2 linked regions of the Diceros bicornis minor genome follow. The protein of the gene in region 1 interacts with the protein of each later gene in a biochemical or structural test. Links are inferred from orthologs where the notes say so. Each region holds a gene or a part of one and is shown in the gene's direction. Other genes may lie near its edges. The genes, in order: NUFIP2 and FMR1.

The links.
Region 2: the proteins of NUFIP2 (region 1) and FMR1 form a complex in vitro, tested with the Homo sapiens proteins (2 studies listed by BioGRID and IntAct, with this or other methods). The link is inferred for Diceros bicornis minor from reciprocal best matches to the Homo sapiens genes NUFIP2 and FMR1.

The regions. Positions count from the first base shown.
Region 1 is NC_080757.1:18,335,801-18,344,031, forward strand, and holds the start of NUFIP2 (FMR1-interacting protein NUFIP2), read left to right. Parts: upstream 1-5,176; 5' UTR 5,177-5,242; coding exon 5,243-5,519; intron 5,520-8,231. UniProt on the Homo sapiens protein: Binds RNA.
Region 2 is NC_080781.1:132,463,480-132,470,862, forward strand, and holds the start of FMR1 (fragile X messenger ribonucleoprotein 1), read left to right. Parts: upstream 1-4,204; 5' UTR 4,205-4,437; coding exon 4,438-4,488; intron 4,489-7,383.

The DNA.
Region 1 (8,231 bases):
ACTACAAAACTTATACTCATACCACTCTGCTAGTTTCTCCCTCAAACTTTTTCCCATAATACTTTTCATAAAAGCAAAATGTCAATTTAAAAAACTTTCATATTTAGAAAAGTTGTCATATTCCACTTATTAAAAGACCAACTTAATTTACCCATACTTCTGTTCAACTCCTTTGAAAGTTTTTTGAAGTTAGTGTCTCTAGGCAAAAATATTAAGATCTAAAGGAAATATACATGAATAAAATTCTTTCCCTGCTGAAATAAAACAGTGGATGTTACCAGTGATTTGCCTCATTTTGAAACTGGAACTATCATCAGAGAGCCGATTTCCATTTATATAAAACTACATAATACTGTTTCTGATGATAATTTCTGTAAAGTTATAGTCAATTGTTACAGTTGAAATACTAGATTTTTATCAGCTAAATTTCCTGCTGCTGTATAGTTTTATTATAATAAAATAAAGGGGTAGTCCAGGGAGAAAAAGCAGAGATATGATCATGGAATGTTAGAGTGGGAAGAAATTTGGAGGCTACTTTGCCCATTCTCTATATTGTAGAGAGGAGAAAATTGAAGCCGGGAGAATTAAGTATTTCTGTATCTTTTAAGTTGTCATAGCACACAAAGTATAAGATTAAAGGCGTGTGAAAAGTGACTTTCATTTTTTTTTTTTTTTGAGGGAGATCAGCCCTGAGCTAACATCCATGCTAATCATCCTCTTTTTGCTGAGGAAGACCAGCTCTGAGCTAACATCCACTGCCAATCCTCCTCCTTTTTTTCTTTTTCCCCCAAAGCCCCAGTAGATGGTTGTATGTCATAGTTGCACATCCTTCTAGTTGCTGTATGTGGGACGCGGCCTCAGCATGGCCGGAGAAGCGGTGCGTAGGTGCGCGCCTGGGATGCGAACCCGGGCCGCCAGTAGCGGAGTGCGTGCACTTAACCGCTAAGCCACGGGGCTGGCCCAAAGTGACTTTCATTTGATAATTAAGACAGACTTGCAAATATATTTAACCGAGTCCCAAAACTGTATCAATAAGAGAAATGGATTTAAAAAACCTCGAAATAACAAAAAGCATAATACCTGGTACATAAAAAAAAAGTGCCTAATAAATATTTGTGAATGAACAATGAATAGAAAGATTTTATTACTTTCATTTTTCAAGTTCCCTCACAGTCTTTTAATTCATATTTTATACGCAATCATAATGTATACATATGTTATTTTGCTTTTTGTACTTGTGTTGCAGTGTCAACATTTTCCCATGTTGTTATAAAATATGACTAACCTTTTAAAGTACCTATTGAAATTACAACACTTCTGAGTCAGCTTCCCAAATGACTATTAACAGGGGTGAATCCAGGTTTTGGGGGGCCCTCATCAAGGAAAAAAATACAAAAATATATTACTTTTTAAAATTTTACAAAATAATGAAAAAATATCTAGCTCTTTCAAAAGACCAATTCTAGGGTCCCTCTGGGGCCTTGAATGAGCCTGTGCAGTGAGGGGCCCTGAATCTTCTTTAGCTTCACAGTACATCTGCCTCTGTTAATAACCAGATACCATCTTCATGGTGGTTATGGTAGATACCATCTTCATGGTGGTTATGATATAGCTTGAATGTTTTTTAGAGGTTTAGTAAAATTTGAGAAATGTATATCACACTTTGAAAGTGTTAGAAATTCTTTCTATCCAGCCAACCTGGAATCTATTTCAGGCCCCACTATAAACTTGGTGGCTTTTAAATTATAAACAAGTCTCTTAACTTCCTCAGCCCTCAAATTCCTCATCTGTAGAATGGGCTTATATATCTCAAAGAATTACAAATGAAAACAAAGATGAAATACTTGGTACAGTTCCTGACACACAGTATGTAGTAAATGCTCAATAAATATTAGCTATTATGATTACAGCCATAGATAAAACATTAACCTATCATATATTGGGAACCTCCTGCCTCTCCATTATAATTTCTCACATTGACTGTAGGTAAAATATGGTGTAAAATGAATTTCAAAGGATTGTGCAGACTCAATTTTTTATGATTTTAATTTTTAAAAATAATGTTGTTATGAAAAGTAATAAATACATAACAGAATATTTGGAAAATAGAGAAAAGAAAAAACAAGGCACCCATAAGTTCACCAGACTTATGCTATATTTCCTTGTTGTTTTTTTCCTAAATGCAGATTCCATTTTTTAAAAATATGCTTAAAATAAGTAGATGCAATCATTCTCTTTTCATAGAGGTTTGATATTATGGCATTATTATTTTCAAATACATGACAAATATCAAATATATTTTACGTAAAACTTAGAAAAATCAGGTGAAAGAAAAGGTACACATTCTACTGTTGTATTTCCATACTTATTAAAATATTCATGTTTTTACAAGGTTATGATCCTAGTGTACAAGGAATTTGATATTCTGCATTTTTCTTACATTATATCACAAGCCTTTCTCTGTACTCCTACATACTACTAAAGCAACATTCATAGTAAGTAGAGCATCTGAGAGCAAGGCTTAGTTTCCTAAACTTCATACAACCGTATGTGAAGAAACTAAAGCAGGCTAAGGTGTGATAAGTCAGCAACTCAGAGTGAGTGCTTTTGGTTTGCCTGCAACTAGAATGTAGAAAATGTAGAAAGAGAAGTTAGAACTCAGGAATTTTTGCCTTCCAACTAAATGTCTAAGTCAGCAAAAGAACATAAAGCTCTATCAACTAACCCTAAATTCTATATACACTTTTATTTCTTCTTCTTCTTTTTTTTTTTTGTGAGGAAGATCAGCCCTGAGCTAACATCCATGCTAATCCTCCTCTTTTTGCTGAGGAAGACCGGCTCTGAGCTAACATCTATTGCCAATCCTCCTCCTTTTTTTTTGCCCCCAAAGCCCCAGTAGATAGTTGTATGTCATAGTTGCACATCCTGCTAGTTGCTGTATGTGAGATGCGGCCTCAGCATGGCCAGAGAAGCGGTGTGTTGGTGCACGCCCGGGGTCCGAACCCTGGGCCGCCAGTAGCAGAGCGCACGCACTTAACCGCTAAGCCACGGGGCCAGCCCCTATTTCTTCTTTAATAGATGGGTAAGTGGTGGAATACTATTCAATGGCAAAGACTTATTTGTCACAATATGTTATTATTGAGGTTTTAGCTCTCAAAATTGGGTAAATATACTTCCCCCCACCTGAAGAGGTCTTCCTTTAAAATTTAGCAAGGCAATACAAACCCTCACTATAAAGAATAAGTCAAGATCTGGTCATGGTTGTCTGGATTCAGTGACATTTGCTGTCAGAAAAGGGCTTTTACTTTTTAATTACGCTTTTGTGTTGATATTTATTAATTTCAGATCAGAAACTTTTCCTTTTAAGCTTTTCTTTGTTCCTTTAACATTGTCCTGTTGTAGGAATTCAAGGCACATTTTAAAAATTGTAAAATATGACATACGTTGAGGAAACAACCCATATATCCATTGCTGAATGAATGGATAAACAAAATGTGGCATATACATACAATGGAATATTATTCAGCCTTAAAAAGGAAGGAAATTCTGATACATACCACAACATGGATGAACCTCAAAGACATTATGCTAAATGAAATGTCAGACACAAAAGCACAAATATTGTGTGATTCCACTTATATGAGGTATCATAGAGAGAGAGAAATAAATAGTGGTTACCAGGGGACGAAGGGAGTAAGGAAAGGGGAGTTATTGTTTAATGGGTACAGGGGTTCAGTTTGGGATGATGAAAAAGTTCTGGAAATGGACAGTGATAATGGTTGCACAACAATGTGAGTGTACTTACTGCCACTGAACTGTGTACTTAAAAATGGTGAAAATAGTAAATTTTATGTTTTATGGTAAATTAAAAAAAATCCCCCCAATAATACATATACTGAGAAAACTGTTACACATACATACATATTCAGTTTAAGAAATAATTATAAAGCAAATATATGTATAGTCACCCTATTATTTGTACCCCTCCCCAGCACTAACCCTTTTCTTCCTTTCTGAGTAACCACTATCCTGACTAATGTTTGCTTTTTTTTAATTTTTAATTTATTTATTTATTTTTTCCCCCAAAGCCCCAGTAGATAGTTGTATGTCATAGCTGCACATCCTTCTAGTTGCTGTATGTGGGACACGGCCTCAGCATGGCCAGAGAAGCGGTGCGGTGCGCGCCGGGGATCCGAACGCCGGCGGTAATGTTTGCTTTTAAAAATCAGGCTGTGATGTGATTTTGCAGGATAAGTTAAATCAATACTACGAAATGCAACAAAGTACTTCTTTAAATTCCAACATTTCCCACAAATGCAAACAATTTTTTACAAACTTAATAACTTTTAAAGTGTGCTTTTCCCTCTTCTTTTGCTTTTGAATCTCTTCATATTCTAAAACCTATCTCGGTTTCACAGTTGACCTCACCTGCAGAGTCAAAAAAAAAAAAAATCTTCAGTGTAGATTTTAGATTTTCATTCCTCCCGCTCTCCCTTGCCTCCAACTACAAAGAAACAATGATTTAAACCCTTTGTGCCCTTTTAGAAAATTACACAGATACCCCATTGTGGAACCCTATAATCCCTTCGTGGAAAGGAAGAGATTAGCATATGAATACAAAGCAAAATGAATCCAGAATACAAAATGATCTACTGGATTGCGAAGCTCTTGTATTCTTAAAAATGTATTTATTTCCTCTTTTTGTATTGCCCCTTTAGTGGTCTCAGGGTTAAGGGAATTGAGCTTCCCCTCTGGTTACCCGGAAAAGGATTAAAAGAAAAAAAAAGCCAACAGATTCTAGGAGGTGCAAAACCAACAGATGGCTCCCAGAGCCAGTGGAATCGCCAGTGGAATCTGCTACACTCGACATGAGCTTGCTTGCCGGCGAGGAGTGTAGAAAGTGCGGTTCGCAGACTGCGTGGTGAAGGAGAAAAAGCGACAGAAGAGAGAGCCATAGTGCTGACGTTGAAGGCCCGGCCCTGTGAGGTTGCATAGGGTAAGCGGCGTTGGCCAGAAGGCAGTGGCGAAGGGGAAGGAAAGAGGATTTGGGCTAGGGGCGGGGCCTGCGGCGCAGCGTGGCTCCTGATTGCTGGAGTGCGGCTGCCAATCTCGCCGAATCGCTGGGTTAACCAGTGCGCTGGCGAGACGCGGTCAGATATACTGAGCGAGCCCTGAGAAGCAGTCTCAGATCCTGACGGTGCAGCAGCCCGCAGCCTCAGCCAGGGAGTCCCAGCCGCTTTCAATGGAGGAGAAGCCCGGCCAGCCACAGTCTCAGCACCATCACAGCCACCACCATCCGCACCATCATCCCCAGCAGCAGCAGCAGCCGCCGCACCACCACCACCATTATTATTTCTACAACCACAGCCACAACCACCATCACCACCACCATCACCAGCAGCCTCACCAATACCTGCAGCATGGAGCCGAGGGCAGCCCCAAGGCCCAGCCAAAGCCGCTGAAACATGAGCAGAAACACGCCCTCCAGCAGCACCAGGAAACGCCGAAGAAGAAAACAGGTCTGGGAGGGAGGACGAATGGGGGAAGGGGAATGGGGGGTGGCGGGTAGGGGAGATGGGGGTGGGGCTGGATCAGGAAAGCGCGAACGGGTTCGGGGTGCGCGTGTGCGTGTGTGTGTCCTGCGGGTCTGGGGAAGCCCCCTTTCATTTTCCCAAACCTCGGGCTGAGCCGCGGGGCTTGCAGCACCCTCTCCTTCCCCTCAGCATGGGAGAGGCCCAACCAGGCCAGTGTGACCTTCCCGGCCCCCGCCCGGGCTGGAGGGAGACCCGGAGGGTCGGCCTTGGAAGTCTAGCCTTACTATTCCTTTCCCGTTCACCTTCCTGCGGCCCTGGAAGGACCTTAATTTGGGGGCCCTGAGTTGGGGTGAACCCAGCGCCCCCCCAAAGAAATCCTTTGGGTGTAACTCAGGAAGGCCTAGCGAATCCCGACTCGGGTAGTGTCGCGAGACCCTTTTGCAGGCGGCGAGGAGAGGGTAGGTGGGCAGAGTTGAGGAAGTGTCCTCTCTCACTCGCCGCCCCAAGCCCACCTGTGGCCTTGGGGTTCCCCGTCGGGGGGGGGCGGTTGGGACCCCTCGTCTTTCGGGTCATTTCCACCCCTAGACGCTCCTTTTCGGCACCAGACCCCGCAGTTTGTCCCCGCGGCTCCTCCCGAGGCGTGCGCCCCGGGCCCGCTCCCCCCAGAGCCGGCGCGGCTGGAATGTTCTCTCCTCCTCGCGGGGCCGCTTCCTGTCCGCCATGTTGGAAGCCGATTCCTGTCACCGACTCCGGGCCACTGAGGAGCGGAGGGGGAAGGGTGTCGAGGGGCGCTCGGCGCGGCTGAGCCGGGTCGCTGGGGATCCCTTCGGACTGTCGCCTGGCCCCCCCGCACTGCGGGGGCGCCGCCGCCCCAGGCCCGCGGCTGCCCCTCCCCCCGTCGCCGGCCGGGTTGTGTAACCCGGTGGCGGCCGCGCGGCCCCGGGCGGGTCCCTGGGGTGAGGGGCGGGGGCGGTTGAGGTGGGGGAGGGAAGCGGCCACGAGGGGAGCGGCCTGCGCCGGCCCCGCGCGCCGGCGGCCGCGTTTCCCGCTCCCGGGTGCGGCGGGAGGCGCGGGCGGTCAGGGCGGGGAGCCGGCCTCCGAGCGGAGCGGAGCCGAGGGAGAAGGAGGCCGCGGGCGGCGGCCGCCGTGCTCCTCGGGGCAGGAGGGCTGGGGGGGCATACATTTTGCGTAGAGGCGGTGCCTGAAGGCCGGGTGGGGTACCCAGCGGGAACCGGGCTCCCCGGTCACGAGTTTCTCTGCCACAGGAACCTCGTCTCCTGCCAGGTTCGCTCACGACTCCGCCTCTCAGGCTTTCACTTGGGCCCTTTCCTTCTAGCAGCTCATTTTTACAAAAAAAAAAAACTTGTTCTATCTCCTTCTAACCTCCCCAACATTTACCTTCTGGGCTTGGGTAGTGTTTTTGAGGAGAGAGATTAGAAAAATGTTTGATTAGACGGGGGAGAGGGCGAGTTTTTTTTGATCCCTGTTTCTTGTCGTTAGGGGTGAACCGAGGTGGCTCATCCATGAGGTTAGTTCACTACCATCTTGCCTCGGATGAGGCTTTTTCCATGTTGAAAGGTGTTTTCTCCTTTAAACCGATATTGATGCCAAAACTCGTTTTGAACAATTGTTAAATTGAGAGTAAAAGTCATTTTAGAAAACATTTGAGAAGAGGTGAACTTAAAAATTTGTAAGCACGCAGATTTTAAAAACTAAGGGTTCTTTATAAATTGAAGAGAAACGAAGGAATGGTAAGAAAATGAATGTTAAACCCAGCATGTCAGATTTGTTACAAGCAGTTACTGAGAGCTGGAGAAAAACTACTTTTCTGTTGCGGACTTAGTGTAACTTGAAGACTGAAATTAGAATGTCAGATTTTCTATTTTGGAGGATGGTGGGGACTGATGGTGTGTGGTGGAAATAAACATGTAAATATGTTGAGTGTTTAATCCTAAGGTCTGGAGCAGTTTAAAAACTGTTAGAAACTATACAACACTAGATCTTTTTATCGTTAGGTCTTTTTCAACTTAAGGGTGAGAAAATCTTACCTTATTATAGTTGCTTGGAATATAAGGCAGTATTACTGTTCAGATTGGAAAATTGTATTTTGTTGATCAGGTACTGTATGACTATACACGCTCCTGCAGGACTTCTGTCTACATATAGAAGCAGCCTTTGAGCTATTCAAAGTGGCATCCTTCAAATTAGTATGTCTTGTCCTGGAAGGGGGTAAATAGGGGAAACTGGGCTTAGCAATTTTGAGAGAATGTAAACAATTTAGGATGAGCAGTTTTTCGTGTGTGGCCTGGTCACAGTACTATTGCTTCAACATACATAATGCTCATTTACTGAGAAAACTTATGAGGATTTTTGAAATGGATCTGTAATTTGTTGAGGTGGGCTTTTATGACCCATTACCCACAAACCTATGAAGAGGAACAGTTTTTATTTATCCAGAAGAGGTCGCAGGAGAGGCCCAAATGTGTTCAGTAATTTCAGTTTCTAATCCAAAAGTCAGCAGGACTCAGGTTTTGCTGCGTCCATTTGAAGTAGGGTTAGATGCTTTAACATGGCAACCCTTAGTAATAAAGGCACTAGGAGTCCTTTGATTTCTCTGAGTAATTCTATAGTATTTACATTTTTCTTAAATACGTAAGTTTTAAAATGAAACTGTGTCTGTGGGTGACTGCCTACCAA
Region 2 (7,383 bases), on another chromosome or scaffold:
TTGCAGCTTCTTACAAAGCCAAATATAGTCACTATATGACCCAGCAATCTCACTCCTAGGTATTTACCCAAATGAGTTGAACGCTTATGTCCACACAAACCTGCAAACGAATATTTACAGCAGCTTTATTTATAATCGACAAAAACTGGAAGCAACCAAAATGTCCTTCAGTAGGTGAATGGATAAATAAATTGTGGTACATCCACACAATATAACAGAATAGACAACAGAATATTATTCAGCGCTAAAAATAAATGAGCTATCAAGCCATGAAAAGACATGGAGGAACCTTAAATGCATATTGCTAAGTGAAAGAAGTCAATCTGAAAAGGCTACATACTGTATAACTCCAACTATATGACACTCTGGAAAAGGAAAATCTATGGAGACAGTAAAAACATCAGTAGTTACCAAGGGTTAGGAGGTTGAGCTGATGAATAAAGAGGTGGAGCACAGGGGATTTTTAGAGTGGTGGAACTATTCTACATGATACTCTAATGGTGGATGCATGATATTACGCATTTGTCAAAATGCATACACAAAGAGTGAACCTTAATGTGAACTATGAACTTTAGTTAATAATAAGGTATCAATATTGGCTCATCAACGAAAGCAAATATACCCCAGTAATGTAAGATGTTAATAATAGAGGAAACTGGGAGGGAGGTATCAGGGAACTGATATGGGAACTCGCTACTATCTGCTCAATTTTCCTGTAAATCTAAAACTATCCTAAAACATAAAGACTATTAATTTTTTTTTGTAATATCTACTTCAAAGGGGAAGTCAAAGTGAGGTGAAATTGTCAGAGAAAGTGTCATGAAAGAAGTGAGGTTTTAGCTGGGTCCTAGAGGGTACACAGGATTTCTAGAATTGGAAAGGACAAAGGGCATTTCAGCTGGGATTGAGGCAGGAAAAAGACTTAAAGGGCTCAAATTGCAAAGGAGCAGGAAGCAACACAGAATAAATCGATGCAAAGACAAGAGGCAGCAATTTAATGGAAGCGAAGGGCCAAGGCAAGGCTAGAAGTGCTGAAGCATCATTCCAATATCAGGTAAATATAGGCCATGGGAGCAGACTTGACCCAAGCTGGGTCCTCAACACATTCATTCATTCAATAAATATTTAGTAAGCACCTGCTGTGTTCTAAACATTGTGGTAGGCACTGGGGACGTACAGGTAATAAAAGAAACAAAAAAACCTCTGTTCCCACTGAACTTACATTCTAGGGAGAGGAGACAGACAGAACCTGACTGGTATTTTCAAGAAGTAGCAAAGAAGCCAGTATGGCTGGAATGGAGTGAAGCAGGGAGGTAAAAGGTGAGATAGAGGAGATAACAGAGGCGAATGTGGGTAGGACAGTGAGGCCAGAATAAATAAGGACTTTGGCTTTTACCCGGAGGCATTTAGGGAACAATTGGAGGGTTCTGAGTGGAGAGTGACTTGACTGACACCTGAATAGGGTCACTCTCTCTTCTGTGTTGAGACTAGACAGAGGATAAGAGTGGCTGCAGGGAGACCAGCGAAGTTGTTGCAATAATCCAGGTGAGAGAGAATAGGGGCTTGGACCATGGTTTTAGCAGTGCAAGCGGTGAGAAATACATTATGGTCTCCGAAAGAATTTGCTGATGGATTAGATGTGTGCAAGAAAGAGAGGGTCAAAATGACTCAGTTTTAGGCTTGAGCAACTAACTCTGTGCCAGGGACACAAAGATAAATAAGACATCTTTCCTGCCTGGAAGGAACTCAAAGTCCAGTGAGGGAAACAGAAATATAAATAAGTGATTCTAGTACATTAAGCATCATAGTAGAGGTATTTAACATTTACTGAGTCCCTGCTATATGCCAAGCAGTGTGGTGAGGAAGCAGGAGGTATGTAGAAGGTTCTATAAGAGCACAAAAGAAATTCTTGCTAAGGTTCGTAAAGACATTCACAAGGGTTTTCACCACAGTGTGACAACAGGGAATTGGCAGTAACCTAGATGCCCATCAGTGGGGAAATGTATCAGTAAAATCTCTTGAATACTCAGCAGCAGTTAGAAGCCAAAAACTAGGTGTACACACAGTAATGTGGATATAGCTCAAGAACGTAGTGTTGAATGAAAACAGTGCAAAACAGATGTACAGTCCAATACCATCTCTGTAAATGTAAAAGGCATACACAAAACACTGCATGTCTTAAATTGTCAAGGATCTATATCAAACGGATTGCAGGTGTCTAGAAAGAGAATGAGAGTGAGGATTGAGAAAGACGAGGAAAATATTATAAACAATATAAAATAATATAAATAAGAGAAGGGTCTTGCAGGGACTGATGACGGCAATGTATTGAGAATTGAGGAGCAAAGTTAACTCAACTCTCTGCAGCTGAGGTAAAACAACTAGCTAATAGGAATCCAGGTGATGACCCTAAGGAGAAGGGTATTTCTGGGGGCCAGGAAGCATGTGTAGAGACATGAAGGCATGAAAGTGCATCACAGGTTCAGGGAACAGCACCAGTTTAGTGTGGCTTGTACTGGTTGTAAAGAGCTGATAATATTTGAAAGCCCTGGGTAAACTGAACAACATCCCACACGTGGAAGGTATAATCATTCTAACAAATCTGTGCCCTTTTACTACATTGGGGTTAAAGATCACGCTCTGTTCCCATCTAGCATATGGTGAAATTCTCTTTCAGCCCTATTGGGGTCTTTGTATCTTGTGACTACTCCAGAAACCCCGGTCCAATGGGTCATTCCTGTTGACTGTGGCCTCAAGGAAGGTGGCCCTTGATCCACTGCTTTAAAATTGGAGCTCCATCAGCAACAACACTGCTGCTCTGGCTAGGAGTGGGGTGGGAAGGGAACTGGAGGTCCAGGAATGCCTCACGTTCTGGGGCACCTGCCTGGGTCAGTTCACCCCACCTCCACCAACTTAGTGCTGCTAGTTAACTCATACTGGTGGCACTCCAGCTGGAGTCATTTCCCAGCTCTGACTTCTCCTCCCCTACCCCAGACTGGGTCCTGTCCTACTATCATAGCTGTACCTATTCATCACAGCTCTTACTACAGTTGCAACTCCCCATTTACTTTTCTGATAATTTATGTCCATCTATGCATCTAGGTTCCAAGTTCTATGCTGGCTGTCTTTTCTTTCTTTCTCTTTTCTTGCTTTATTTTTCTTTCCCAATGTCTCACTAGCACTTAGCACAGTGCCTGGTATCTGGTAGGGGGTCAATAAGCTTCTCAGTTGGATACAAGCCTTACAAAAGAAACCTAGGTCAAGGTGGATACAAGCACAGTGCAGAAGGAGGAATGAGCAAGAGTTGCAACTTGTTCTCCTGTGAAGAGCAAAGGGGGAGAGCTGCAAGGAAACAGGTGCAGGACCCCTGTAGATAGGTCACCGGAGTACTCTACACATGCCCACCCACGCTTTGGTAGAGGGTGGGCATACAGAAGGAGCAAAATAGTAGGGAAATAAACTGTAAAGGAACTAAAAAGTGTTTAACTTTTTTTTACGTATGTCAAGTAAAAGTATGAAACCGAATCGAAAGGGAAGTATATGGATCAGTGCTGGATCTGAGGAAAGACTAACATTTTCAGAGGTCCTGACACAATCCATTGCCCCTCAGAGGCACAGGACATGTCAAAATACAGCCCAAAATCTCTTGGGGGTGGGGGCGGTGTTACTCTCACCTCCTGCCTCTAAGGGTCACACAAACCTGGGTCACCGTGGTTGCTACTATTACTAGTTCAAAGTCTTCAATCTAATTTTTCACCTTTACTCTTGTCCCCTACTCCACCTCCAGCTCAATCAGATCCTGCCCCACTTCAAAAAAAAAAAAAAAAACCTTCCAACCCAAGCCAGCCAGCCGGACTCGGATAAGTGAATCCACTCGATCGCTACGGGAGGCTCTTTCCCACGCCTCCGATTGCCCCTTTACAGGAACGGGCGCTCTGGCGCTCGCTGGGCAACGCGAAGCAGCGCGACCTCGGCCAGCGCTGCGACCCGTCGCCGCCCTTCCTGCATTCCCGCCCTCTGCCGAGCCCGCGCGCCTTACGTTGGGCCCGGCCTCCACGGCCGGGTCCCAGCAGAGCGCATGCGCGCGCTCCTGGGCCCGCGAGGAGAAAGAGGGCGGAGCCGAGGGGGCTGAGCCCGCGGGGGGAGGGGCGGCGCCGGTCACGTGATGCGGTTTCACTGTTTACACGCGGAACGGCCAGAGCGTTCGGCCTCAGTCAGGCGCTCGGCTCCGTTTCGGTTTCACTTCCGGTGAGGGTCCGCCTCTGAGCGGGCGGTGAGCCGACGGCGAGCGCGGGCGGCGGTGACGGCGGTGCCGCTGCCGGGGGGCGTGCGGCAGCGCGGCGGCGGCGGCGGCGGCGGCGGCGGCGGCTGGGCCTCGAGCGCCCGCAGCCCACCTCTCGGGGGCGGGCTCCCGGCGCGAGCAGGGCCGACGAGAAGATGGAGGAGCTGGTGGTGGAAGTGCGGGGCTCCAATGGCGCTTTCTACAAGGTACTTGGCTCCAAGGCAGGCCCCATCTTCGCCCTTCTTTCCCTCCCTTTTCTTCTTGGCTTCGGCGGGAGGCAGGCCTGGGGCCCTCTTGCCGAGCGCCGCGCCCAGGGGCCAGGGCGCGCTCGGCGGGATGTTGTTTGGGAGGGAAGAGCGGACTTGGGGCCTGTGGGAAGCCCCTCGAGCCCCGCTGCCTCGCCTACGAGAGGCCCCGGCGCCTATAGGAATGAGAAGTGGGCAAGGAGAAGCGGGTGCCCTTTCGGGGGCCGAACCCCGCCAGGGAGAGCTGCGGATGGGCGAGGGCCGGCGGCAGGTACGAGATCCTGGCGAGAAGGGCGGGTATCCGCGCGGAGTGACGGCGACGGCTTATTTCTCTTTTCCTAAATATCCTCTCCAAGTGGGATCCGGGCCTGACGTGTGGGTAGTTGCTGAGGAGCTGGGGGCGCTTCCGTCGAGCCGCCGCCTCCTGCCTTGTAAAGAGGATTTGAGATCTCCTTTGGCTTCTCTTTTCCTGTCCAGCATTGGGACTTCGGAGAGCTCCACTGCTCTGGGCGAGGGGTGTGAAGAAAGAATAGTAAGAAGCTGTAGTCAGTACCAAATCACAATGGCAACTGATTTTTAGTGGCCTCTCTTTGTGGATTTCAGAAGAGATTTTAGATCCAAAAGTTTCAGGAATACCTTGACATATCCGAGTAATGCATTAAAGAAGTTGGTAATCTTGAATATTCGCAGCCTCCCTCCCTGTTATGAATGTGGGCAAAGTCAGGAATACAGATGCTTCAGCATCTAAAAACATTAGCAAATCTGTTGCTTGAGAAAAAAAAAAATTTTAACCCTCCAAAACCCTGAATATATGCCGTGAAACTTCAGGAAATTAACAGAGTATTTTATTACTAGGGAACTTGAAAAAGTGAGTGGAAATAATTGTTTTGTGCTCCAAATACATGACTATGTTTTCTGTGTGTAATGTTGTAGTGGACTGTATTGTTGAGGTTTTAAATAGGCATGTATGGTTTTACTGTGGGTTTTTGTTTTTTAAGTTACACCATTGCAGATCGGCTGATACCTTACATTTTCAAAAGGAGGATTGAAAATATTTTGGTGTATTGATGTACTGGTAGTGCGTCTGTTGGTACGTACTTACTGTAGCTCTAGTAATCTATAAATTCTCCTTTTCTCTTGAATGTCCCTCTATAGCTTCTGTAAGTAACATCCCACTTTACTACAGTGTTTTGGCAATAGAAGGTGGTGGGTATGGAAGCAGGCATGGAAATTAGCTATTGCCATTGTCCAACACAATTCTTCAGTTTATTATGGGATAACTTAAACGTTTCAAATGGGACTCGTTTGGCTATAGGAAAATAAACAGTTGACTTAACTATATGTGTGTTTACTAATTTTATGGAGATATTTGGAGATCGGTATATTTCATAAGTGAGTAAAGTATGTAAACTGTCCCATACTTTTAGCAAAAAGATGAAACCTTTAGCTGTAAAAGGATGAAAAAATAACCCAGCAGTTATGTTCTTAACAGTTTCAGTTGACTCTGCAGTCAGAATTTTGGTTGTATGTATTTCAGTGATGCATAATTTCTGCTGGTTTGTGTAGAATCGTTCTGGTTCCTAGATTGATAGTTTTACTCACTAGATTTGTGGCGCTAACTATAATAAATATGAGCAGAGGCTAATGGTTGAGCAGTATTCTAATAGATCTGTGATATTAGCTCAGATTGGACGCCACTCTTACTGTCTTTAGTGTAGTTTGCTTGCTATGGAGGGCAAGTAGCACATCCTGGTCTTGAAGGATTTATTGTTCTCTTCCAGCAACCTATGATTTGCTTCTGTGATTTTGCTTGCAAACTGATTGGAATATAAGAAATTCCCTCTATCTTTGCTGTTAATCCCGCCTGTTTTTGTTTTTTAACCAAGTTGCTTAATATGGAGGTGAATAAAAAGAGTGGTTGTCCCTTAGTTACTTGAGGGGAAATGTGAAACTTAAACAAATGTATGTAGAGAAATTGCTGTTATGTTTATTTAATTAAGGTTTATTTTTAAGAATATCTCAAATGGTCTGTATTGGTGGAAAAATAGTTTCTGTAATGGAAAAGCCTTAATTTTTTTTATAGGACTCAATATTGCTTTGAGTTATGAAAGTAAAGCAAAAGTAAACTGAGTTGCTTGTCCAGTGGGATGGGCAGAAAAGATGGGAAATAAAGACCAATAAAAAATGAACTATTATGGAGAAATGTTACATTTATGAAAAAATCAGACGCTGGTTCATCAAATTGATAGAAAAACCTTTACAAACTAAACAACTCAAACGACTTCAGTATAATTGAATTCAGACTTTGATTTGCCTAACAGAACCACCATATTACAAGGGACAGTTCTCCATCTTCTGAGTGCATGGTCCAAGTTTGCAATATAAACTGGATAGAGTATATGCTGTGAACATTTGGATTCTTTCTCTATAAAGTAACTCAAAATTACTTTACAAAGTCTGTGTAAAGTAACTCTCAGGATTCAGAATTTACAGAACCATGAAACCTAAACCCTGAGATTGTAACAGCTCATTTCTATTTTTCCCTTTGGTGTTTATTCTTAAACACTTGACAATTAGATTTAGTAGTTGTCAGAGCCACTACTTTTATGCTTAGGTATTTCTTTGACTTAGAAATAAGTCACATGTGCAATTTATAGAGCCTAATGTTATTTAAGACATGAAGACACTTGAATTATACCTCACAAGATCTTTACAAAACATTTCCTAAACGAATAATGTTGAAATAAGGTGTTTTTTCTAGGGACATCTGCCTAAAATAGTATAGTAAATTTTTTTCTGACTAAAGAGTTTTGATTTATTGAGAATGGAAATGAATTAACTCCATTTTAGATGTAG